Sus scrofa: one gene and its partner. The protein of the gene in region 1 interacts with the protein of each later gene in a biochemical or structural test. Links are inferred from orthologs where the notes say so. Each region holds a gene or a part of one and is shown on either strand. Other genes may lie near its edges. The genes, in order: DRD2 and NCS1.

Region 1 (12,338 bases):
CATCCCTCCCCACTCCCCAGGGGGTCGATTGCTGCATCTTGGGACTCCTTCTCCCCTGGTTTAGACCCCTCCTTTCCAAGAACAAGCCACAGGAGGCAAAAGGGTGTCACAGGAGGAGTCCAGCAGGACCACAGACCCTGACAGGCTGTATTCGGACAGCTCCTGTCACCTCATTTCTCAGAGCCTTAGGCTTGTTGTCTGATGGCTTGGTTCTTTGAATTATTTTTCCTTTTTTTTTTTTTTAAAGATTTGGTTTTTCCATGAAGGTTTACCTGTGCCAGCTGCATAAGCATCATCTTACTTAATCCTCACGATAGTAATTGCTTTCCCTATTTTGCAGATGGGAAAACTGAGGCTCAGGAAAGCCAAATAATCAGGTCAAGACCCTGTAAGTAAGGAAGCACCGGTAAGGCTAGGGCTGGGGTTGCACCAGGTGTCCTGGTTTTCAGCCCCCTATGTTATACTAGTCTCCCCTGTGCCACCCCATCAGTGGGGGTGGATTTGCTGACACCAGGACCCCCCCTTGGCCTGATGCTCTCTGACAGCTAGCCAGGCAGCCCCGTGGGTGAGACACGTCAGCCCCAATTAGGAAGCTTGCTGAGGACCCAGGAGGGGCTGGGGCTCACTCTGGCCGCTGGTTAATAGGCTCTACAGGCATTTAGGCATGTTCCGTATTTTCCCACTTTTTTCTATAGTGTAATTATATTACATTTGTATCAGCAAAAAGCAACAAGAGCAATTGAGAATAAATGCTCCATTAGAAAATTAAATGCAATGAGGCCTTTGCAGCCTTGGGTGAGACTTGCTCTGCAGAGTAACCAGCACCACAGAGGATTATGTACTCACCCCAACCCCTCCCCGCGCCCCCCACCCCCTTGCAATTGCCATTGACATTGTACCTGTAATGTAAGTAATGTAAGTCTCCGCTGAAGTTCTCCCCTCTCCAGGAAGCCTTCCGTGACTGGGAGTGCTGGCAACTGTTTGCATCTGGGTCCACCCTCTCAGTGATGGTCCCACTGCTGAGGAGAGATGCCTCTCTCAAGGTCATGCCCTTTGCCTGGGGCATCTCAAAATCTGCGATGTTATGGGAGGAAATGAAGATTTTGTTCGTTTGTTTTTTTAGGGCTGCACCCACGGGCATATGGAAGTTCCCAGGCCAAGGGTCCAATCAGAGTTGCAATTGCCGGCCTACGCCACAGCCACAGCCACGCCAGATCTGAGATGCATCTGCGACCTATACCACAGCACATGGCAACACCAGATCCTTAACCCACTGAGTGGGATTGAACCTGAATCCTCATGAATAATAGGTTCGTTACTACTGAGCTATGGCAGGAACTCCAGGAATGAAGGTTTTGTTTGTTTGTTTTTTAAAGTGTAGTTGATGTACAATGTTTTGTCAATTTCTGCTGTATAGCGAAGTGACCCAGTCATACACACACACACACACACCACACACACACACACATTATTTTTCTCATACAATATTCCATCATGTTCTATCCCAAGAGACTGGATAGAGCTCCCTGTGCTGTACAGCAGGACCTCTTTGCTTATCCATTCTAAATGTAATCGTTTGCATCTACCAACCCCACACTCCCCATCCATCCCACTCCCTCCCCCTCCCCCTTGGCAACCACAAGTCTGAGGAACAAAGTTTTGACTGTGTTGCGTTAATTCAAGCAACTGTGCAAGGCTCGCAGGGGGTGTCACCTGAGGCCTCTGCTGTGACTGTGAAGCAGTTCAACCTCTCTGCTGCCCTGTCCTGCTTCCTTCACTGCCCTGCAAGTCCTAATCCCCAGAGCGCCCTCCAGTGGATCCCCCACATGCCGAATTCTCCTTGGTCTGCTTTCTGACCAACATGTAACACGCATGATATTCTTGGGCTGCATCCCTCATCTGTCACTTGTTCATCTGATGGGCTCTGTTAGCAGTTACATTTCAAGCGTGTGTGTGTGGTGTGTGTGTGTGGTGTGTGGTAGGGGGTTCTTCCCAGTTGGACTCACAGAGATTTTGATTCAGTTCTGCAAACAGCTACTAAACACTTACTATCTGCAAATCACAGCATTAGGAGCTGGAAGAGAAAAACAAGAGAGTTTAGCCCATAAAGAAAATAAGACATGGGCAAGACACAGTGTAAACCTTGAGATAACTACACCCCCATGAACAAAAGAGATGTACAGAGGGAGAATGTTCTGGAACAGAACCGGAAACAAATCCATGCAAGGAAGGAGGGAGATGGCCCAGCCAGGAGGACTTGGGATGGATTCTAGGGCAGAAGGGCTCTGAGCAAGTCTTGCTTTGAAAGACGTGTAGGGACTGGCCGGTAGGGGCAAGGGAAAAGAAGTTTTCTAGAAAACTTTTCTGATGTGTTGAGTGGCGATAAGAATCACAAGCCGTAAAGGTTATTGAAGATAAATGAGATAGCATATATATGTTAAACTTGGCAAACTATCAGATCCTTTCAAGTAGATGAAGTTACTATCGTAGGATCGGATCGTGCTGCAGAAACAGAGGTCTGGTTGGACATGGGGAGTGGGTGGGGTGAGGGAGACAGGAGCTGCGAGTCCTCATTAAATGCCTCGAGCCCTTTCCAGAGAGGAGCTAAAGATGTGGGAGGAGGGGCAGAGAGGGGCCATCAGGGTGGTGGGGGAAGGGAGTGTGCCTCCAGGTCTCCAGGCTCCTGGCAGTGCTTCTTGCCCAGCAAGCTCATTAGATGCTGATTGAGTAAATGAATGGCAGGAGCAGCCCCTGTTGCCTGATCAATACATTCATACAGGTCTCCTGCTGTGTGTTCCACTTGCAAAGAGGCACCAGTGGGCTTGGCAGAGTGAAGGGTCAATATTACCCGGTGCTTCACAACCTTGGAGCTGGTAGCCTTGTTGCATGGGTGACATTAGGCATTTTCTTTCTCTGAGGGGCTCCAGAGTGGTGGTGCTGGCTTGGACATCATCCATCTTCTGAGAGCTGGCAGAGCAGGTGCGTCAGAGGGATGAAGGTGTGGAGGTGGGCAGACCTTCTCCAGGGGCCCCCTCTGACCTGTTGTAGCTGGTGCGCCCTCCTCTCTGATCTGGACATGGTACCACCTTCAAACCAAATGGCATAAATTGCCATTTGGGTAACAAAGCACCCAGAAGTCGTGGGGCTTTGTGTGGAATGCTTGAAATACTGATCGTTTCGTTCCGCTGTGTGAAATAGGAACACTTTTGTTAGCAGGAGAGCCAACCATGTTATATGTGCATTATGTTTCAATCACAACCAAAACACAGGCTGTCAAGCTCATCAATGCCCGCTGCCTCTCAAGCCTGCCTCTGAGCCCCTCTGCTTTTTTTTCTTAGTGAGCAACATCGCCAAGCCTCTCAGAGCAGAACCCAGTGCAGAAATCTGGAGTCATCTCATCTCCTTTTCTCCCTGCTTGCCTCCAGCCCCACTCGCACCCTGCATCTACCCAATGGCCAGATTCCACGAAATTGACTTTCATGTTAGCTGCTGACTCCCAACCCTGCTCTCCACGCTTATTCCCATGCCTTCATTCAGACAACCCCCACCTCTTACCTGAATTGTATCCATGACTTCACACCCCTGTAACATCCCCTCTGCACTGCACAGCCAGCAACCTTTCCAAAACACCAACCCAATGGTGTTCTCATTCCTCTGTACCCAGCGGCTCCGAGCTTATAAGACCTGATCTGGCCCACGAATGGTCCTCCAGTTTAATTTTCCCCAGCTTCACCATCATGCCCTACATTTTTAGCCACATAGAATTATTTGCTGTTTGGGACTGTGCTGTGTGCTCTGCTGGAACATCTCTCCCAACACGGTTGCCTGGCTACCTCCTCCTTCTACTTGATCTCCAGTGATGCCTCCTTCAGGAAGTCTTTTCCCCCGAGATGAGCTGCCCATTCATCAGGGCTCTCAGTGCACAAATGCAGAACCTCATCAGCTCTTCTTGGGTTCCTACAGCCTCCCGGCTGGGGGCCTGCCACCCCACTTAGCACCACGCTTTCATTCTCTATATAGCGGTTGGACTCTTCTTGCTGAAAGGCAAATCTGCTCACGTGGCTCCTGCTTCCCTTAAGGTCAAGTCTAACCTCCATGACTGAGCCTGTTGCAGCCTCCAGTTCAAATCTTGCCAAGCCCTCCATGCTCCAGCTATCCCGAATCTCCTGCCAGCCCTCCGACGTGGCATCCACTCTCCAGCTCTGTCATGTCCACATCTGGCTTCCCTTGGCTGGACCCTTCCCCTGACTCCCCAGTCTTTACCTGACAAATTGCTATGCATCCTTTAGGTGTCTGTTGAACATCGCTTCCGCAGGAAAGCCTTCTTTGAATCCCTACACTTCGGGTGTGTGTCTCTCTCCCCATTTGATTTCCTAGAGCCTAAGACTCCTAGACTTAATTGCTTGGTTAATTGGCTATTGTTTCTTTTAGAATGTGAGCTGGAGAACTGCATCTATTTTGTTCCTGCCTACGTTTCTAGCATTATACAGAACAATGTTCGATAAATATTTACAGAATCAAGAATGAATGATGGCATATTTCTATTCTCACCACTAGAAGTGAAACTCCTGACTACTTTGTCTTAAGTGTGTAGGGCCTGGGATGTGCTTAAGAAGTTATCTGTTGAGTAAATGGATGAATGAATGATCAGCTCTTTTCAAGTTCATTTATTTAATTACACTTAAAAAAAATTTGTGCTTTCTCATTTGTTTTACCTGAAAGAACTTGTTAGCAGAAAAGTGTTGCTGGCTCCAACGTTTTAAGATTTATTTTTTTGTCTTTTTTTGTTTGCTTGTTTTGTTTTTTAGGGTCGCACATGTGGAGGTTCCCAGGCTAGGGGTCAAGTGGGAGCTGTAGCTGCCGGCCTGCACCACAGCCAGAGCAATGCCAGATCCAAGCCACATCTGTGACCTGCACCACAGCTCACGGCAACTGAGTGAGGCCAGGGATCGAACCCGCAACCTCATGGTTCCTAGTCAGATTCATTTCTTCTACGCCACCACAGGTACTCCAAGACAATTTTTGGGATGCAAAAGTTCAAGTCCTGAGGCTGGCAAATTCTCTTTTACCAGCAGGGGTGGGTCTTAGCCCCGGAGCCCTCTGTGCCAGGCAGCATGCTTTGCAAGGTCTCCTGCTCACTTCCTGTGTCCGTGTCTCCTGCCCAGAGCCTGGCCACCCCGTGGCCCCGCTGCCCCAATGGATCCACTGAACCTGTCCTGGTACGATGACGATCTGGAGAGCCGGAACTGGAGCCGGCCCTTCAACGGGTCCGAAGGGAAGGCCGACAGGCCCCACTACAACTACTATGCCATGCTGCTCACCCTGCTCATCTTCATCATCGTCTTCGGCAACGTGCTGGTGTGCATGGCCGTGTCCCGCGAGAAGGCGCTGCAGACCACCACCAACTACCTGATCGTCAGCCTCGCCGTGGCCGACCTCCTGGTGGCCACGCTCGTCATGCCCTGGGTGGTCTACCTGGAGGTAGGTCTGGGCCCCCACCTGCTCCACCGCCCTCCCCAGGAGGGTCTGGGCTCCTCAGTGATTCCTACCGAGAGTGCGCCTTCTCCGGCGGTCTCTTTGGAACCTTGGCCTCGGTCTTATAAAATGGGTAGATCCCAGCTACCGGGTACGGGGTGCCTCCTGAGGGCCGGGCCTGGTGTGTCCGTGACCCACAGCATCCTCCCACTGCGTCCTCGCAGCAGCTTATGATGGGGAGCCAGAGCGTCAGGGAGTTGGGTGACTTCTCCAGCCTCCCGCAGTGGCTGGAACTCAGGCCCCAGCATTGGTTCACGAGGTCATGTTGAAAAGGGGGGTCATAGATGAGGATCCCCAAGAAAGGGAGAGCCTTGGGCTCCCAGGCCTGACAACTTCACCCCTCTCCCCACTTCCAAACAGGGGCTGCCGCCCCAGGCTCTCCTCCCCGCCGTGTGTCCTAGCCTGCGTCTGGGACCTCTGGCCGCTGTTCACCACAGGCTGCTGTGAACCCTGCTGTGCCCCCCTCTCCTCAGGAGGGACCCCATGGTGACCCATTGCTTGGCTGAGAACAGAGCCCAGCTCTGTGCCCAGAATAGTGAGTAGGCAGCCCCCGAGGGGGGCCACAGGTGCGTCACAGACACACACTCAGCAAATACACTGAGTGATCCTGAGTCGATACCAATCTTCTCACTTTAAGGAAGAGAAAGCAGAAGCTTTGAGAACTTGCCCGTCTTCACCCCGATCACACGGCAAAGGGAGGAACCCTGAACTGGGGATTCATGTGCAGGAGGACAGTTTGCTGAGCTGGCAGGCAGAGGAGGGAGGGTCTGGGGGACTGGGGTGGGCACAGGCTGGATCCTGTCCTTTTTGCTGCCCGGGGTCCTGGGAGTCTGGGTGCAGAGGAGGCTGACCGGGCATTCCGAGAAGAGCCAACGCCAGGGTCACTGAGATCTCTGCGCCATTACCTCCCTGCCTTGAACAAGAGGGGGTGTACCTGTGCCATGGAGGGAAGCCCCTGCCTAGGAGGAAAGGGCTGCCACCTTTCAAAGAGAACACGGAACGTTCGTAGTTTGAGCGGAGAAGAAGCCTCTGGGAGAAGATGCAGAGATGGCAGGAGGGGGTGGTTTCCCTGCCTCCACGTCCCCAGAGACTCCTGGGCCACCTGTTGTCACTACCACGCTGGCCCACAGGGAGCTCTGGGCCATCACTCCCTTGGTTTCCTTTAGTCCAGCCAGGCTGGAACTTTCAAGATGACCAGAATTTTAAGAGAGAATCAACAAGAACCAAACAATAGATATAATACAACCTAAAAACATGCAGGTACCGCCAGCCAGGGGTCCAGTTCCTCCATGACCACACGTTTGTAGGGACCCCTAGGCTCTGTTCATCCTGTGTGCTGTTTGATGGCCGATCCCCAGGGAATTGATTCTTGGGCCCATTCCCCTCCTGCTCCCTCATAAAGGAGGTTCCCAGGCCTCAGCCCATCTGGCAGAAATGACAGCGGCCAAGCCAACAACCTCTCTCTGACACGGAGAGGATCACGATGCTTACGTCATAGTGTTGTTTGAGAATCACATGAGCTGAGATATGAAAAGCACTTAGCATGGCAGCAGGCACAGAGCAAGCACTGTGTGAAAGTAGCCATGACAACGAAGATGAAGATGGCAGGAGACAGCCTTGCCGCTGCACATCGAAGGCCCCGCCCTGTGCCCAGGCAAAGAGGGTGCCAGGGAGAGGCATGCTCTGCCCAGGGCTCTGGGCACAGGTTCTGGGACTTCCCAGACGCTCTAAGGGAGGGCAAAATCTGCACACGAGGACTCCGGGAACCTGGAGGTCCTTCACGCAGATGGGTTAAACATACCCATTCATATCATTTAAAGGTGAAGCTCAGAGTTTTAGGAGAGGGTGGAGAAGAGCATCTCGGCGGGCAGTGTTCAAACTCTCCCATCAAAACGAGAGCTGGACAGTGGGCCCCGCCCTCAACATGGTCTCCGCTACTTATTGTCCCTAGAGACTGTCCCAAGCGGAGTCCCACTCCATCCCAACCTCCTGTTAAAGCATCCTCTCAACTATACACTGTACCCTCTCTAAGAGACACCCTTGTTGTCCAGAATTTTCCATCCTGCTCCATTTCTAGTGATGTTAGATGCCTCTGATAGCCTGCCACGTTGGCACCCGGCTAGGTGGACCGGCTGTGCATCACTGATCCTGCTCAGCATGTGGAAAGCACATTGGTTTTGGAGTGAGAGGACTGGCTTCAATTCCTGACTCTACCATTTTCTATCTGGGGATGGTGAGAGAAGAGAGCCAGGGCCCACCTGTCTGCCTGGACCATTTCAGCCTCACAGCGCTCTGAGCGGAGGGTTTCCGGGGTCCACTTTCCAGAGGAGCAGATGTGATTGAGAAAGTGAGCCCACTAAGCTCGCAGTTATTTACTCAGTCAACGTGTAGGAGCACATCTGCATCCTGCCCAACCCTGGGGCTGGAGTCCAAGGCCCTGGAATTATCCAGGAGAGGGAGCAAGGCGCTTGTACTCCAGGCAGAGAAAAAGTGTGCAAAGCCCTGGAGTAGGGGACTCTTGGGGGGTGGGAGGTACCTGGCTTGAGGTTTTGGGGAGCGGTGTCCTCCGAGGTCTGCTGTCACATTCCATAGAAATGAGTGTGAAGGAGTTCCCGTCGTGGCACAGTGGTTAATGAATCCGACTAGGAACCATGAGGTTGTCAGTTCGATCCCTGGCCTTGATCAGTGGGTTAAGGATCTGGCATTGCCATGAGCTGTGGTGTAGGTTGCAGACTCGGCTTGGATGTGGCGTTGCTGTGGCTGTGGTGTAGGCCAGCGGCTACAGCTCCGATTAGACCCCTAGCCTGGGAACCTCCATATGCCGCAGGAGCGGCCCAAGAAATGGCAAAAAAAAAAAAGACAGAAATGAGTGTGAAGCGTTTAGAACCGTGTGTGTGAGACACACAGTAAATGCTTCGTGTGTGCTAGTTAATGTCAGGGTTTAGCCAAGCCAGCTGGAGGCCCGTCCTGCAGGTCTCAGTCTCAGGTGAGCGAGAATGCTGGTGAAGGGTGTCCAAAGGTGTGGAGGAAACAGCACTGTCGGGAGGAGGGGGGACCAGCAAACCTGGGGGCTGGTCCTCCCTCTGCTACTAAATCACCAGGTGATCTTGGGCAAGTCCTTTTTCCTCCCCGACCCCAAGTTCGTCTCTCCTGCAGTTACAGTTGCTCCTATCCCTCTGTGTGTTTCACATAAGCATCTCCTCTTTCGACAAGCTACACGGTCCCTTCCAAGGCAGCGCGGGAGACATCATAGGATGTCCAGCCCCAAGAACTTGCTGCAAACTCCAGCCCTGCTGCATGCCAGCTGGGTGCACCCTCTGAGCTTCATCCCCCCACCCCGCGAGGGGCATAAGCCACCCTCTCTTGCACGGAACAATAAGTGAGGTAAAGCACGTGCCACAGTCGATGCTCTATCACTGCTGGCCACCAGCGTACTTTCGTGTGCCTTTGATTCAACGGCCCCCAACTGCATTCCAGAGCAGTTTCTCCTGGGACCTCAGAGGAAGACCTCCTTCTTCTGAGCTCCATTCCAGAAGGCTTTGTGGGGGGTGGGATTGAGAGCTCTCTAAAGACTGTGTCAGGATTGTCACCACTGTGCCCAGAGTCTAGGACAGAGCCGGACACAGTACATTGCCCAATAAGTGTATGGAAGAAAGAAGGAAGGCAGGGAGGATGAAGAAGATTGCCCGGTAGCTCAGACCTAGATCCCCAGGGGCATGAAAACAGCTGGGACATTGTAGTCCCAGGAGGGCATCAAGGTGTGGCACAGAGCAGGTGGTGCCCTAAAGGTAGAGTCCGTTGATGCCAGGGAAGCCCCTTCTCCCCCCCCTCAACCTCTGTGCCCCCTGGACATCCAGCTCCTGCCTGCCCGCCTGGCCAGAGCTTGGAAACCCACGCTCTATGTGAGCTGCAGAGAAGACAGTGCCACATGAGAGGCTTCTCATCTTCTAGGAAAAGCTGCTATTTCCTCCGTGCGATGCCCATCTCTGCATTTAAACGCCAACAGTTGGTTTTATGCCTGAGAGCAGCAAAGAGGGAAGCACCGAGAATGAATGTTATAATTAGCCCCGCTGCCCCGCTGTGCCCTGCAGAGCGGGGACTGCTCTGCTCTGGTCACAGGATGGAGCTTTCCTGCTCCTCTTCTCTCCAATAGGTTGTAGCCCAAGTCGCATCTCCTCATCCTGACTCTGTCCTCAGAGATGGGGTCTGTTCCAAACCACAGCCGCAGGGCCAGCCTGCTGTGTGCGTGCGTGCATGCTTGTGTGTGTAAACGGGAGGGGTGGGTGTGTGCGTGGGGAGTATGAGTGTGTTTTGGGTGGGGGGGTGGGCGAGGGAGAGGTGAAAAACACTCCTGTCAGGAGCTGGACTCCTTCTTTACACTGCACGTATATACCATTACACACCTTCCCCAGCCCGTTCAGCTCTTCCTGAAGCTCTTCCAGGCCGTCCTTTCATTCTTCAGATGTAAGAAGAAGCAGAAATGTCTTCACTGTTTCAGAGTCACTGTCTTCACCGTAGTTCTTAACAAAGTCTTACCGGGCCCTGACTCTGTGCCACGCACCATGCTGGGCACTGAGGGGGTGCTTCTGCCCAAACCTGGGCCAGGGCAGGGCCAGAAGCCGAGCTGAAAGTCATGCACTTTCCTGTGGCTCAGTTTCCTCACTGGTAACATGAGAATCACAAGCTGTTCACACCAGGGTTTTACAGATGAATATTCCAAGCTGAGGCACTCGTGTAAGTGGTCATGTTTCTTCCAGCAAACTTCTTGGTACAAAGTGGCCTTCTGTGTCTAGAAGGGGAGGGGACTGGGGCAAGAGCCTCAGTCACTCCAGGCACAACCCCCAACTGCTGGCCCTCTTCTTCCCCAGCGGGCGTCCCATAAGACCCCCAGCGAGCCTGGGGGCCGATCTGCCTCAGGAGACCGAGAGACAGTGCCTAATCTCTGCTGTCCACCCATTATGTTGCTTTGTCCCCAGGTGGTGGGCGAGTGGAAATTCAGCAGGATTCACTGTGACATCTTTGTCACTCTGGACGTCATGATGTGTACAGCGAGCATCCTGAACCTGTGTGCCATCAGCATCGACAGGTGAGCCCAGGGCGGGAGAGGGGACCCAGACCATTTGCCTCTTAAGCTGCCCCACCACTCCTCAGGATCAGGCTCTGTCCATGATGCTCCAAGGCTGGCTGTGCTTGCAAGTCCACGTGTTTGTGTGTACATGTATGCATGTATGCATATCGGGGTGGGGGGGTTCATATGTGTCTGACGGGGAGAGGACAGACCGCCCCCTTGCCCCCAGAGGCTGTTTATGGGCAGGGATGCTACCAAAACCATCTAGACAGGGACTAGTATACAGAAGAAAGCATGTGGAGTTCCCACTGTGGTGCGGTGGAAATGAATCCGACAAACAGCCGTGAGTATACGGGTTTGATCCCTGTGGTGTAGGTCACAGATGAGGCTCGGATCTGGCATTGCTGTAGCTGTAGTGTAGGCCAGCAGCTATAGCTCTGATTCAACCCCTAGCCTGGGAACTTCCATATGCTGTGGGTACAGCCCTAAAAAAGCAAAAAAAAAAAAAAAAAAAAAAAAGAATAAAGCCCTAGCTCTGTCACCTCTTATGTGACCAAGGTGTATTGTGAAAGGTCTCAGAACCCTAGTTTCATTGTCTAGAAACCAAAAATGATGCCACTTGTGCACATGCAGCTCTAGCTTCTGGTTGTGTGTTTTACGTCCAGCACAGGGCCCATGGCCACCGGGGCCCAGGTTGTGCTTACCTTGCTTAGCTGTATCTTTGGAGCCTTTTGCTAATTTGCATGCACAGGCTACAGGGACTCCCAGAGGTCCTGGCCCCACTCTTCTTGCAGGATTCTTGGAAGATGCATGGAACTAATGTCTGAGAAGGGCTGGGGAGAGCCATGTGGGGCATCATAAATAATTCCCATTGACATTATTTTCTTCTGAATGAGACCTAACCTTTGCTTTGAGGGCCCTGGCTACCAATCTACCCACAAACACTTCCACCCTCCATGGGCCCAACACAGGTGCAGTGCAGTGTACAGTTTCAAAGGTGCAAAGACCTGGGCCATGGTCCCTCAAAAAGCCTGAAATCTGAGCAGGGAGTCTGGAGTAGTAGATGCGGTCCAAGATTGAATGGTAGCTGGTCAGTCATTAAGCACATGATTGAGCATCACCAATGGTCCTCCCCGTCCGAGTCGGGGACAGGAGAGAGGGCTGATGGAGAGCAGGCAGGAGGTGGACCAACTGTCCATCCCCCCAAAGCGGAGCATCTCCGTTGTGTGCATGTTGTGGAGTGAGGGGTCCCTGGGTCCACACCCCAGATTCAGGGTGCCCACCCTGCGCCCTTGCAGGTACACAGCTGTGGCCATGCCCATGCTCTACAACACACGCTACAGCTCCAAGCGCCGAGTCACCGTCATGATCGCCATCGTCTGGGTCCTGTCTTTCACCATCTCCTGCCCGCTGCTTTTTGGACTCAACAACACAGGTGAGTCCTACCTCCGTCTGCCTGGGGCCCAGCTGGCCCCGGCTCCTGTGCAGGACCCTAAAGGACCCTAAAGGAGCTGAATCCTGGTGTGGACACTGGTGGAGGCCCAGCTGGGGCTTGTTTGCCACTCTGGACTGAGGCCAGGCTGGGTCTTCTAGCCAAGCCTGACTGTGCTTGGTACTGTACTCGGTTGTGCTTGGTAAGGTCAGAGAGGAACAATGGCCTGGAACACAGTGGAAATGGGTGAGGCGTGGGGATAATGATCCAGGAGGATGCCTGGTTATTTTCAACCTTGCTTAT
Region 2 (11,672 bases), on another chromosome or scaffold:
ATCCTTAACCTGCTGCGTAGCCAGGGAACTCCTGGAGACACTGTTGATTGTCGTAACTTGGGGTGGGGGTGTTTCTATGGGCTGGAGGCCATGAGCGCCGCTGAACACCCTGTAATGCACTGGCCAGGCCCCATCACCAAGAACCAGCCTGATTTAGTCTAAGCCACTTGTGTTGCCAGCAGGGAAACTGGGAGGCATTGCAGAGTAGGGGTTTGCTGGGGCCCTGTCACAGTGAGACAGGACGGGCCAGGACTGGAGCACAGGGCAGGCCCTGGAGCAGGCTTCCAGGCGGCAGTGCTTCTGAAGAGGGGGGCTGCGGGAGGAGAGGGAGGGGGCCCAGTCCTGTTGGAACCTGAGCCCGGGTGGAGGAGGGGGGTCAGGGGCGTGCAGTCATCTCATCTCTCTTCCTGGGACGGAATTCCGGGTGGGAACTCGGTAATTAAGCAGTAGCTCCCTTGGGTGCCCGCCGAGGGGAGGGGGTGTGTGCCTGGGGTGAATGTCTCCGCTCAGCTGGATCGGGGGTGGGGTGGGGGGAGAGGGGGTGGGGGAGGGGCCTGGCCTGCTCCTCCGGGTCCACCGTGGCAGGAAGTCCTGACCTTGGGAATGCGAGGTCATGAAGAGCAAATGAGGGGCCTGGGGCAGCTGGGGTGTCTGGGACAGACCTCCTCCTCTTTGCTCCAGGGAGATGGGGTGTCCCCTGCCTTCTGATGATGAGCAGCGGGGTTTGGCAATGCTTGGGGAGCAGGCACTGGGCCTTACACGGCAGTGGGGGCAGTGCCACCTGGCTTGTTGGAGGGGCCGACGAAATGGGAGCAACTCTGTTTCTGCTGCTGACTTGCTGTGTGACTTTGAGCCAGCCTCTCTCCCTCTCTGGGCCTCCCAGAGCCCTATCAATCCACAGAGGAGCGGGAGTCTATCAGTGGTTCTCTAAGGATCTGCACGGAGTTCTCAGGTTCTTTCCAGGGTCCCTGAGGCTCAGGAAGAAGATGCCGGACCCCTCTCTCTTTGTGGGTTCATTCATTCATTCATTCAGCTCGCTGGACATTTCCTGAGCCCCCCCCCCCGGGCCAGGCATCGGGCGCCATGGTGTCAGGGAATTCACTGTCAGGTGGGGGACACAGCCTGGAGGCAAACCTGATGCAGTGTGGTTCTTGCTGTGCTGGGGACAGTCAAGGGAAGGGGACAGGTGAGCAGGGCCCCCCTTGGGGGGGTCTGGGCGGGTTTCCTGGGACCTGGTGGCTGAGAGGATTAGCCAGATGAGGAGAAGGGCGATGTGTTTTGCAGGCAGAGGGACTTGCAGGTCCACAGGCTTGGAGGCCAGATGGCAGAGCAAGCTGTAGACAGTGCGACTGGGTGTGGGATGCAGGTGGGGGAGGTTGGCTAGAGGAGGCTGGGGTGACCCTTCACGATGGGCCTTGCCTGGTGGGGATGGCGCTGCTGCTAATGGCACCCAGGGGGCTGCGGCCCCGCAGTGACAGTGACAGCCTCTGCAGGGGAAACCGGACAGGCCCCCTGAAAGCTCCCCACCAAGGCAGCCTCCCTGCACCCACCTGCTGAGCCCACCGCAGGCGCTCAAAGTGCTGACAGCTCCCAGCGAGCACGCCCCGTCGAGGCAGCCCCACCTCCGTCCCCCTCCACCAGGCCAGGAGTGGCTCTGGGTGCCTTTTTTTCTCCTTTATTGTTTCTAATAATCTTTTAGACTCACTCAAGTAACACAGCCATTGTGGGGGGTGGGGGGAAGGTCTGGGGGAACATGCCAGGGGAGGGGAATGGCCCCATCCGGACCTCCAGGGCTGGCTGTGCCCACACATGGGTCCCCTCCTCCTGCCCAGGCCCCCAGGTCTGGACTCCTCCCTGGTTCTGGGTCCTGCCTTGCTCCTTTCTGACCTCTGGCCTCAGTCACTTAGCCCCAGAATTCCCCAGGCTCCCTCTTTCTGGTGCCCTGCGTGTGTCCCTTGCTCAGCCCAGGCCCCTGAGACGGTTCTCTGACGGGAGGGGGGACAGTGGCTTCTCCACACACTCCTTCTGTTTGGTCCCCAGTCACGGCACCACCAGCAATTCTCTGGACATGACGGGCAGCGTGGAGTCTTCTCGGGTGCCCTGGGTGGGCCCAAGGACCTTGGGGCAGGCGGGGACGTCCTTGGCAAGCCCGTGTCTCTGAGTGTCAGGCCCCGTCAGCCGTCTGCGTCAAACCCTGCCTTGGCTCCAGTCTGGGCTGCGAAGACGTGCACATCTCCCCGTGTCGGAGCCTCCGTTTCCTCATCTTTACTTATTTATTTATTTGGTCTTTTTTTTTTTTTGAGGGCTGTGCCTGCAGCATATGGACGTTCCCAAGCTATCAGTTGAATTGGAGCTACAGCTGCCGGCCTATGTCACAGCCACAGCAATGCCAGATCCAAGCCACGTCTGCCACCTGCATCACAGCTCACGGCAACGCTGGATCCTTAACCCACTGAGAAAGGCCAGGGATCAAACACACATCCTCATGGAATCTAGTCGGGTTCATTACCGCTGAGCCACGACGGGAACTCCAGTTTCCTCATCTTTAAAATGGGCTTCATGGAGTTCCTGCTGTGGCTCAGAAGTAATGAGCCCAACTGGTATCCATGAGGACGCAGGTTTGATCCCCGGCCTTGCTCAGTGGGTTAGGGATCCGGCGTTGCTGTGAGCTGTGGTGTAGGTCACAGACATGGCTTGGATCTGGCATTGCTGTGGCTGTGGTGTAGGCTGGCAGCTACAGCTCTGATTCGAACCCTAGCCCGGGAACCTCCATATGCTATAGGTGCACCCCCCAAAAAAAAATATAAAGTAAAATAAGATAGGCTTCATCGTAAGTACTTGGCTCATGGGGCTGTTATGGGCGTTCCAGGAGAATGAGATTTGCAGTGTTTCTGGCAGGGAGAGGCCCAGCGGAGGTCGTAGCTGGTAGCGGGTAACAGCCAATCAATCCTTCTCTCTAGCCTCCCTTTGTGCTGGGAATCCTCCTCCAAGGAATGTGTGGCCCGACTGGAATTGCCGAGCCACATGCAGGAGCCAACTTGTGAAGTGATTTAAAGAAACATACACTAAAAATCATGATATTGGTTATTATTATTATTATTTTGGCTTTTTTAGGGCCACACCTGTGGCATATAGAGGTTCCCAGGCTAAGGGCTGAATTGGAGCTGTAGCCGCCGACCTACAGCAATGCTGTACCCCAGCCGCATCTGCGACCTACACCACAGCTCACGGCAACGCCGGATCCTTAACCCCCTGAACAAGGCTGGGGATTGAACCCGTGTCCTCATGGATACCAGTTGGGTTCATTAAGTGCTGAACCATGACGGGAACTCCAACATTGATTTGTTTTTATGTCTAGCCCTGTGCCAAGGATGCTACGTCATCATCTTACCCAGTCCCCACAGGATGGGTGCAATAGCTCTTCCTGTTTATAGAGGAGGAGGGTTAGGCTCAGAGAGGCGGAGGCACTTGCCTGAGGATGCACAGCAAGCAAGTGGCAGAACCTGGCTTTGGGCTTCGAAGCCCTGTTGCCCTCAGCTGGCCGGGTATCTGAGTGTCCTGTGGTGGGCACTGGGAATGCCGTGTGGACAGGTCGCACTGGAAGCCACGAGCTTGCTGGGCTGCTGTTTACACAGTTCCCTGGGAACAGAGGCAGGGGAGCGGGTGTGTGCACGCTGGGGGGTGCAGTCATGTGGGAGGAGCCAGCTGCCAGCCCCATATGGTGGCTCTGCCCACCAGCACCACCAGCATTGCCAGCCTGCCTGGCTCTGTAGTGCCGGGAGGGGCTCAGTGGAGAAGGTGGGGGAGGTGGGAGTGCCTCGTGCGAGAGAGAGCGAGGCTTCAGGGAGGCTGTTCGTTTGAGTTTGGCTTTAGTCCCCTGGGTGGAACGGGGGGCTGAGTGGCCAAGTGACTCTTATCCTCCTGGTACAGACGAGGCTCAGAGAGGTCTAGCCACCTGTCCCAGGTCACACAGCCAGCAAGAGGCAGAGGTGGGATGAGCCCCCTGCCTGTGGTGTCCAGGTCTGGGCTCCCAAGCCCAGGTGGCACTGTCTGTCTGGACAGGCACTCAGAGTCTCCTGGGTCCGGGGCCCAAGCTCTCAGCAGGTGGGCGTGATGCTGGCGTTTCTTTTACTCTCTCACCTGGTCTCTATTTCCAGGTACAAAGGCTTCATCAAGGACTGCCCCAGTGGGCAGCTGGACGCGGCGGGCTTCCAGAAGATCTACAAGCAGTTCTTCCCGTTTGGAGACCCCACTAAGTTCGCCACGTTTGTTTTCAATGTCTTTGATGAAAACAAGGTGAGCTGGAGATTGACGGGCTGCACCAGCCGGAGCCTCCCCTTCCTGAGGCAGCCTGCTTCCCGGGTACCCGCAGCGTCTCCACACCCACGCGCACCTGCTGATGTTCCCTCTGCAGAAGGAACAACCACGTGTGCACTCACACACACACATACACACACAAATGCACGCTTGCATATACAAAGATGCATACAAATGTACGTGTGCACAAACACGAACACACGTGCACTCATGTAACATACAAATGCATGCATGTGTGTACATTGCATAAACTCACACATGTACAAGGCACCCACAGAGATACATGTGTGCACATGCCTATTGTGCACAGACATGTGTGTACACACCCATGCACACATAGGTACGCCTTGACCTTTTTCTTTTTCTTTTTTTGCTTTTAGGGCTGCACCTGCGCCATATGGAGATTCCCAGGCCAGGGGTCGAATCGGAGCTACAGCTGCCAGCCGACACTAGAGCCACAGCAATGCGGGATCCGAGCCGCGTCTGCAACCTACACCACAGCTCATGGCAACGCCGGATCCTTAACCCACAGAGCAAGGCCGGGGATCGAACCCACATCCTCATGGATACTAGTTGGGTTTGTTACCACTGAGCCACCATGGGAACTCCTTGACTCTTTTCTTACAAAGCGCAAAAGGCAAGTGTCTTCAGGAATGATGACAGGATTTATAATCATAACTTGTATTTACTGAACATTTTCTATGTACTAAGGCCTTTATGTGGATTGTTTGTAGCGAGACCTTAACAAGCAACTACCTGTAAAGGATGCCTTTTAAATGCCCCCATTTTGCAGATGAGGAAACTGAGAATCCCATAATGTGGCATCGTTGATGCCCAAGCATCGTGTTTTCGAGGCTTGTCTGGGTTGGAGTCTGTCCCCTCCTGGTGACAGACGCCCTGACGGGTGGCAGGTCCACCGCTGAGGCATCCGTGGTTCTCCGGCCTCGGTCCCACACCGGCGTTTTTCCTGGCTCCCTGGTGTTCACGGTGGACTTAGTGTAACTTGTTTCTACACTCCGTGTTGTTGGGCGTGTGGGTTGTTTCTACTCGGTCACGCCCTGGCTTTCTCCGCAGGTGGCCCCTGCTGACGGCCACCCTGCCTGGCCCTGGGAAGAACTCTGTCCTCTCCAAGCCTCAGTTTCCTTATCGGCAAAACAAATAGGATCGGACAGTCCAGAGCCCCACCTTCTAAAGCCTCTGTGCCTGTGGTTCAAGGCCAAGGGTCTGAGAGAGGGGATTCTGGGCGGCTCCTGCCCAGAGAGGGTCACGGGCGCTGGGGGTGCCTCTTCCTCCCGCCAGATGTGGAGTCAAGCTCTCCCTCTGGCCTTACCCTGTCCCTCCTGCCTGGTCGGTCCCATTTCTGGCCCTCCCCTCCCCCTCCTTCCCCATCCCTCACCCCTGCGTCTGCTTAGCTACCTGCTTCTGCCCATCACCACCTGCCCAAGGTGCGTCCTGACCGGGCAGCTCAGCATTTACCCCCATCCCTCTCTCCCTGCCGCAGGACGGGCGGATTGAGTTCTCCGAGTTCATCCAGGCGCTGTCGGTGACCTCGAGGGGAACCCTGGACGAGAAGCTGCGGTGTAAGTCCTGCCCGCTGGGCTCCGTCGGGCGGCCGCTGGGTCGTCCTGGGCTGGAGGGAGGCCAAATCTCTGGGCCAGGCCGTCTGTCCAGGACTGAGGGTGGCACAGACGTCCTGCCCTTCCAGGTCGGAGGTGGTTTCCTGGAGGCGGCCAGGCGGGTGGACAGATGGGGCAGGAGCACAGGGCATTCTCGAAGGTGCACCTGGCGCCGGGCAGCGTGCGGTTCAGACCCGGTTCCAGGGCTGGATCCAGCACTCGGGAGGCTGTTTGGATGACTGACGGCGTGTGTCCATTTACTGGTTCACCTAACAGTTATTGACCTAACGTGGCCTCATGTCTGTGCTGGGCTGGAGGCCCGGAATCCACAGGTGTATGAGATCGAGGGGCACCTGCTCTCGTGGCTGTCCCTGTAGCTCAGGGACTTTATCCAAAAGAGCCCATAAAACTGCAGCCGGGGCTGGAAGAGGGAGGTGTGAGCCGATCAGAGAGGAACTGACCCTGTTATGAGTTGGGAGCCGAGCTGGGAAGGGTGAAGCTGGCAGGGGGTCGGGGGGCGGGAAGAGGGTTCCAGGCAGGGGATCAGCATGTGCGAGGCCTGAGGAGGGTCGAGAGAAGGCTACTGGGGGAGAGGCTGCACCCGTGCTGGCGCGAGAGGGGATCTAGCAGGAAGATGAAAGCAGCTGGGCCGGGATTCACTTCCCACTGAGACAACTTCACCGCATCGCATCGGCACCGAGAAAGCACTGCAATTTCTTTCTTTCTCTTTTTAGGAATAAAAGAGGATTTTATTTATGCCAAAGCTCCTCCCCCCTCCCTAGGCATATTATTTTCTTTTCCAAGTTGACCCTAGCTGGATCCAGCATAGTTGTGGAAAGGGGGTGGGCCGAGAGGAGGCAGAGGCAGGGGTGGGGAAGGAGAGGGGTGGCTTTAGGGCTGCTCCTGGGCTCCCTTCTGTCTCTCAGCATCAGCCTCCGAGGCCTCAGCTCTTACAGACCCAGCCCCCTCGGTTTATGTTTTGGCTGTGCCTGCGGCCTATGAAAGTTCCCAGGCCAGGGATCGAACCTGCACCACAGCAGTGACCCAAGCTGCTGCAGTGACAAGGCCAGATCCTTAACCCGCTGCACCACAAGAGAGCTCTGCCCCCTCCTTTTTACATTTACGCTTTTTCAGTAACTAGGTGACATGGTGTGTGTGTGTGTCCCCTGTCTGTCTTGGCGGGATGAATAACGGGGCTGTTGGCGGGGTGCCGAGGGGAGGGGGAGCGGCCGCCAGCCCAGCCCCGGATCAGGGCTCACTCGCCCTGGCTGCTTGACTGCAGGGGCCTTCAAGCTCTACGACTTGGATAACGACGGCTACATCACCAGGAACGAGATGCTGGACATTGTGGATGCCATTTACCAGATGGTGGTGAGAGGCCTGGGCCCTGGGGGTGTGGGGGTGGGGGCAGCAGCAGGGCATCAAACTCAGCGATGGGGCCTGGCCCAGAGGCGGCATCCCCACGCGGCCGCCCTCCTGCCTGGGGTGGGAGCTGGCAAGTGAGGGTCACTGCCTGGGGTTGCTCTGTGCCTCTTGGGGGAGGGCGGGGGCTGCTGATGGGGCTGGTCCAGAGCAGAGGGCGGATGGGGGCACGGCAGGGAGTGGGAGGGAGACGCAGTCTTCACCTGGAACCAGTTCAGGTCTGGGGGGCATGGTTGGGGGCCAAGGGCCCAGAGGGCAGAGGGCCAGGAGCCGGCCCCACCTCGCCTGTCCCCGACAGGGCAACACCGTGGAGCTGCCAGAGGAGGAGAACACCCCCGAGAAAAGGGTGGACCGGATCTTTGCCATGATGGACAAGGTGAGACCCCTGGTGTGATGGCCACTGGTCCAGCCCGCAGACATGCAGGGTTTTAAGTCAGTTCGTCCAACCCTTTTTCCTTAACTCAGCTTCTTAACCTTTTCAGTTTTTGCCACAGACCCCTTTGACATTCTGGAGAAGCTGTCTCAGAATGTTTTTAAGTGCATCAGATAACATTCGTAGGGTCAAAAAGAAAGCTATTTTGGAAGAGACTTATCCCATTTTTTTTGGCCACACCTGTGGCATGTGAAAGTTCCCGGGCCTGGGATTGAACCGGTACCATAGCAGTGACCTGAGCTGCTGCAGTGACACCACCAGATCCTTAACCTTCTGTGCCACAAGAGAATGCCTCAAAATATTTTTTAAAAAGTATTTGTGATGTGGTTTTATATGAGCTGCTTCTTCTTTTTTTTTTTTCTTTTGTCTTTTTAGGGCCGCATCCGCGGCATGTGGAGGTTCCCAGGCTGGGGTCTAATCAGAGCTGTAGCCGCTGGCCTACACCACAGCCACAGCAACGCCAGATCCGAACTGTGTCTTCGACCTACACCACAGCTCATGGCAACGCCAGATCCGTAACCCACTGAGAGAGGCCAGGGATTGAACCTGCAACCTCATGGTTCCTAGTCGGATTCGTTTCCGCTGCACCACGATGACGGGAACTCCCTTTTTTTTGTCTTTTTAGGGCCGCACCTGCGGCATATGGAGGTTCCCAGGCTAGGGGTCTAATCGGAGCTGTAGCTGCCAGCCTACACCACAGCCACAGAAACAAGGGATCCGAGCCACATCTGCTACCTGCACCACAGCTCACGGCAACGCTGGGTCCTTAACCCACTGAGCGAGGCCAGGGATCGAACCCACAACCTCATGGTTCCTAGTCAGATTCGTTAACCACTGAGCCACAACGGTGGCTGATAAGGTTGAGTGGTGGGTTTAACCAGCCCGAATTTCAAAGTGCTGATCTGTCTTCTTGATGCTTTGCAGCAGCTGTGATGTGTTACAAAAATGCTGTGATCTCCACAGCTGACAAAGTCACAGGTACTTCTGGTTCCATGGGGGATTGTCACCTAGATTCATTATGGAAGGAAGCGCTAAATTTCAGTTAGATGTTAGTGAAAAGAAAGACCTCCTTTTTCCCTATTTTAGTTCACAGACCTGCTGAATTCTATCCAAAGACCCCAGGTTAAGAAAGCCTTCTTTTTTTTTTTTTTTTGTCTTTTTAGGGCTGCACCCACGGCTTATGGAGGTTCCTAGACGAGGGGTCGAATCAGAGCTATAGCTGCCGGCCTACACCACAGCAAGAGCAACGTGGGCTCTGAGCCGCATCTTCAACCTACACCACAGCTCATGGCAACGCTGGGTCCTTAATCCACTGAGCAAGGCCAGGGATCGAACCTTCGGCCTCATGGATACTAGTTGGGTTCATTAACCACTGAGCCATGACGAGAACTCTAAGAAAGCCTTCTTTCTAAACGCCAGATCCTCAACCCACTGGGCAAGGCCAGGGATCGAACCCACAACCTCATCGTTCCTAGTCGGATTCGTTAACCACTGAGCCACGATGGGAACTCCCTCTATCAAACTTTTTTAAAAACCTGGAATCACTTTGTTTGAAATGGGAATTTGATATTCTGATGGTAAGGAAGCCTGGTATTGCTTGCCTTAATTAAGTAAAAGAACACAAATGACAGTGACCTTGGGTTTATTATGACATGCTGGCTGGGTACAGGTGCTTGCCCTGGAAGCTATGAGCCTGAAGCCTTACTTTCTTACTTGAAAAAAAAAAAAATGAGATCAGCCCATGTCAGAGACACGCAGGCTCAGACGGCGCTGAGCTCCTGGTCAGAATCAACAGGCGTGTCCACAGAGTGTGCAGCAAAGAACATGAACTTTGCCGCGGAGCTGGCGGGGTCGTTCAAAGTTTTTAACACCCAAAGTGTGAAATCTACCCCCGCCCCCAATTCAGACCTCCCTTATTTTAGGAAGCAAAGCCCACGCTGGAGTCAGACCGGGCCCAAAGCTGGCTTCCCTGGTTAGCAGCCAGGGAACCCTGGGTAGGTGACTGAGCCTCCCCTATAAAAGGGTGATAGGAGCGGTCCCTCTCCTTGATGGCTCTGAGGACCCCGGAGAGCAGGCGTCCTTGGTGACGAGCGGGGCACTCGGCGTCGACACTGTTGTTGGAACCCTCGTCACTCTCTCCGTCTCTGGGGGCTGGACGTGGGGTCGGTGGTCTCTAAGGCCTTTTTCTTTTGCACTCATGGGTTTCCTTGCAAGATGCTTCAGGGGACGGGACGCTGGCCCAAACCCTTTCCTCCCACAGGAGACCCACTAAAGCCCCTCTACATGGCTTCCGTCCAGCCTGCTAGCCGGTCTCCCGGGGTCCAGGGTTGCGTGCTCCAGGAACGGCTTAAATGCCCTTCCAAAGGTGACCCCAGAGACGTGCATCAGGCTCTCGGCCCTGTGGGATTAACCGCCCTTTCAGGGCATGAACAGCAGTGATGGGGCGATTCCGGTCTGCCAAGCACTGTGCACAGCTTGAGCTCAAGGAGTGCTCGCCCCCGTGCCCTGAAGAAGCCGTGCCACTTTGTGCAATCCCCAGACGAGGAAAGCAGGGCCCAGAGAGGTGGGTGGTGTGGCCAAGGTCACCCAGGCTGCATGGGCCCGGGTCTGTCCACGCCTGACTCCTCTCCCCTGGTGAAGGGCGTTGCCTCCCGCCTGACCACCCTCGCTTGGGACCAGCCCTGGGCTGGGCTTGAGGAGGGAGCATCCAGGGCCCAGGCCCCTGTCCCTTCACCTCCAGCCTCCTCTCTCTGCTTGCAGAACGCCGACGGGAAGCTGACGCTGCAGGAGTTCCAGGAAGGCTCCAAGGCAGACCCGTCCATCGTGCAGGCGTTGTCCCTCTATGACGGGCTGGTATAGTCCAAGGCCCAGAGTGGGGTGAGTGGAAGGGGGTGTGGGGCGTGGTGGGGGGTGCTGGGGGCAAACCCAGCCACAGGACACCTAGGGTTTCCTGGGGGTGCTTGGGGGTCTGCCCAGTTGGAGCCTCCATAGTAGGGAGAGACCAGGAGGCAGGGTCTTCAGATCAGCCAGGGCTCCTCTGTTTTTGTCATTTGAATGGTACCCAGCTTCCGGAGTTCCCTTGTGGCTCAGTGGGTTAAGGATCTGGCATTGTCACTGCTGTGGCTTTGGTTACAGCCTTGGTGCAGGTTCGACCCCTGGCCCAGGAATTTCTGCATGCCTTGGGCTGCAGCCAAAATAATAATAATAATAATAATAATAATAATATACTCTTCTTTGATCTTTTTTTTTTTTTTTTTTTTGGCTGCCTGCACAGCATGTGGAAGTTCCCAGGCCAGGGATCGAACCCACGCCACAACTGTGACCATGCTGGATCCTTAACCTGCTGAGCCCGCAGGAAACTCCTCATAGACCCAGATTCAGCCTGAGAGTTGACTTGAAAACCCATTGAAAATCACAGTTCTCGGCCAGGGCCAGGGTCCTGGGCAAAGAGGGCTTTCTCCTTCCTCCCTCCTCTGTCTGGGTGGCTGAAGACCTCAGCTCCTGGCTCTCTTGCTCAGTAGCTCAAACGGAGTTTCTTGTCTCACCCACTTGGATCTGCTGGATGATAACACGCCCACAGAGGCGTCTGTCTGCTGGCAGAGAACTAACCCCTGGGGTCCTGTCCAGCTAGAAACACTGTCGTAGGTGTCTTGTGGTGGATGAATGATGCTTTCTGCTGATTTATATCTAAGAGGAGAACTGTTGGGATGTAGAATACGTGTATGTTTAACTTTAGAGATACTACCAGACCGTCTTCCAACGTGGTGGTACCATCTCCGACTCCCACTCATGTCCTGTGAGTCCGCCAATTGCTCCACAGCCTTGCCAACAATGTTGGATGGTCTCTGTCTTTTAAAATTTCAGCCATCTGGGTGGGCGTGTGG

What was found.
Region 2: the proteins of DRD2 (region 1) and NCS1 form a complex in vitro, tested with the Homo sapiens proteins (2 studies listed by BioGRID, with this or other methods). The link is inferred for Sus scrofa from reciprocal best matches to the Homo sapiens genes DRD2 and NCS1.

Annotation. Positions count from the first base shown.
Region 1 is NC_010451.4:41,076,233-41,088,570, reverse strand, and holds the start of DRD2 (D(2) dopamine receptor), read left to right. Parts: upstream 1-5,182; 5' UTR 5,183-5,196; coding exon 5,197-5,481; intron 5,482-10,511; coding exon 10,512-10,621; intron 10,622-11,901; coding exon 11,902-12,038; intron 12,039-12,338. UniProt on the Homo sapiens protein: Dopamine receptor whose activity is mediated by G proteins which inhibit adenylyl cyclase. Positively regulates postnatal regression of retinal hyaloid vessels via suppression of VEGFR2/KDR activity, downstream of OPN5.
Region 2 is NC_010443.5:270,309,764-270,321,435, forward strand, and holds part of NCS1 (neuronal calcium sensor 1), read left to right. Parts: intron 1-4,157; coding exon 4,158-4,296; intron 4,297-5,818; coding exon 5,819-5,897; intron 5,898-7,215; coding exon 7,216-7,304; intron 7,305-7,653; coding exon 7,654-7,731; intron 7,732-10,548; coding exon 10,549-10,647; 3' UTR 10,648-10,665; intron 10,666-11,672. UniProt on the Homo sapiens protein: Neuronal calcium sensor, regulator of G protein-coupled receptor phosphorylation in a calcium dependent manner. Directly regulates GRK1 (RHOK), but not GRK2 to GRK5. Can substitute for calmodulin. Stimulates PI4KB kinase activity.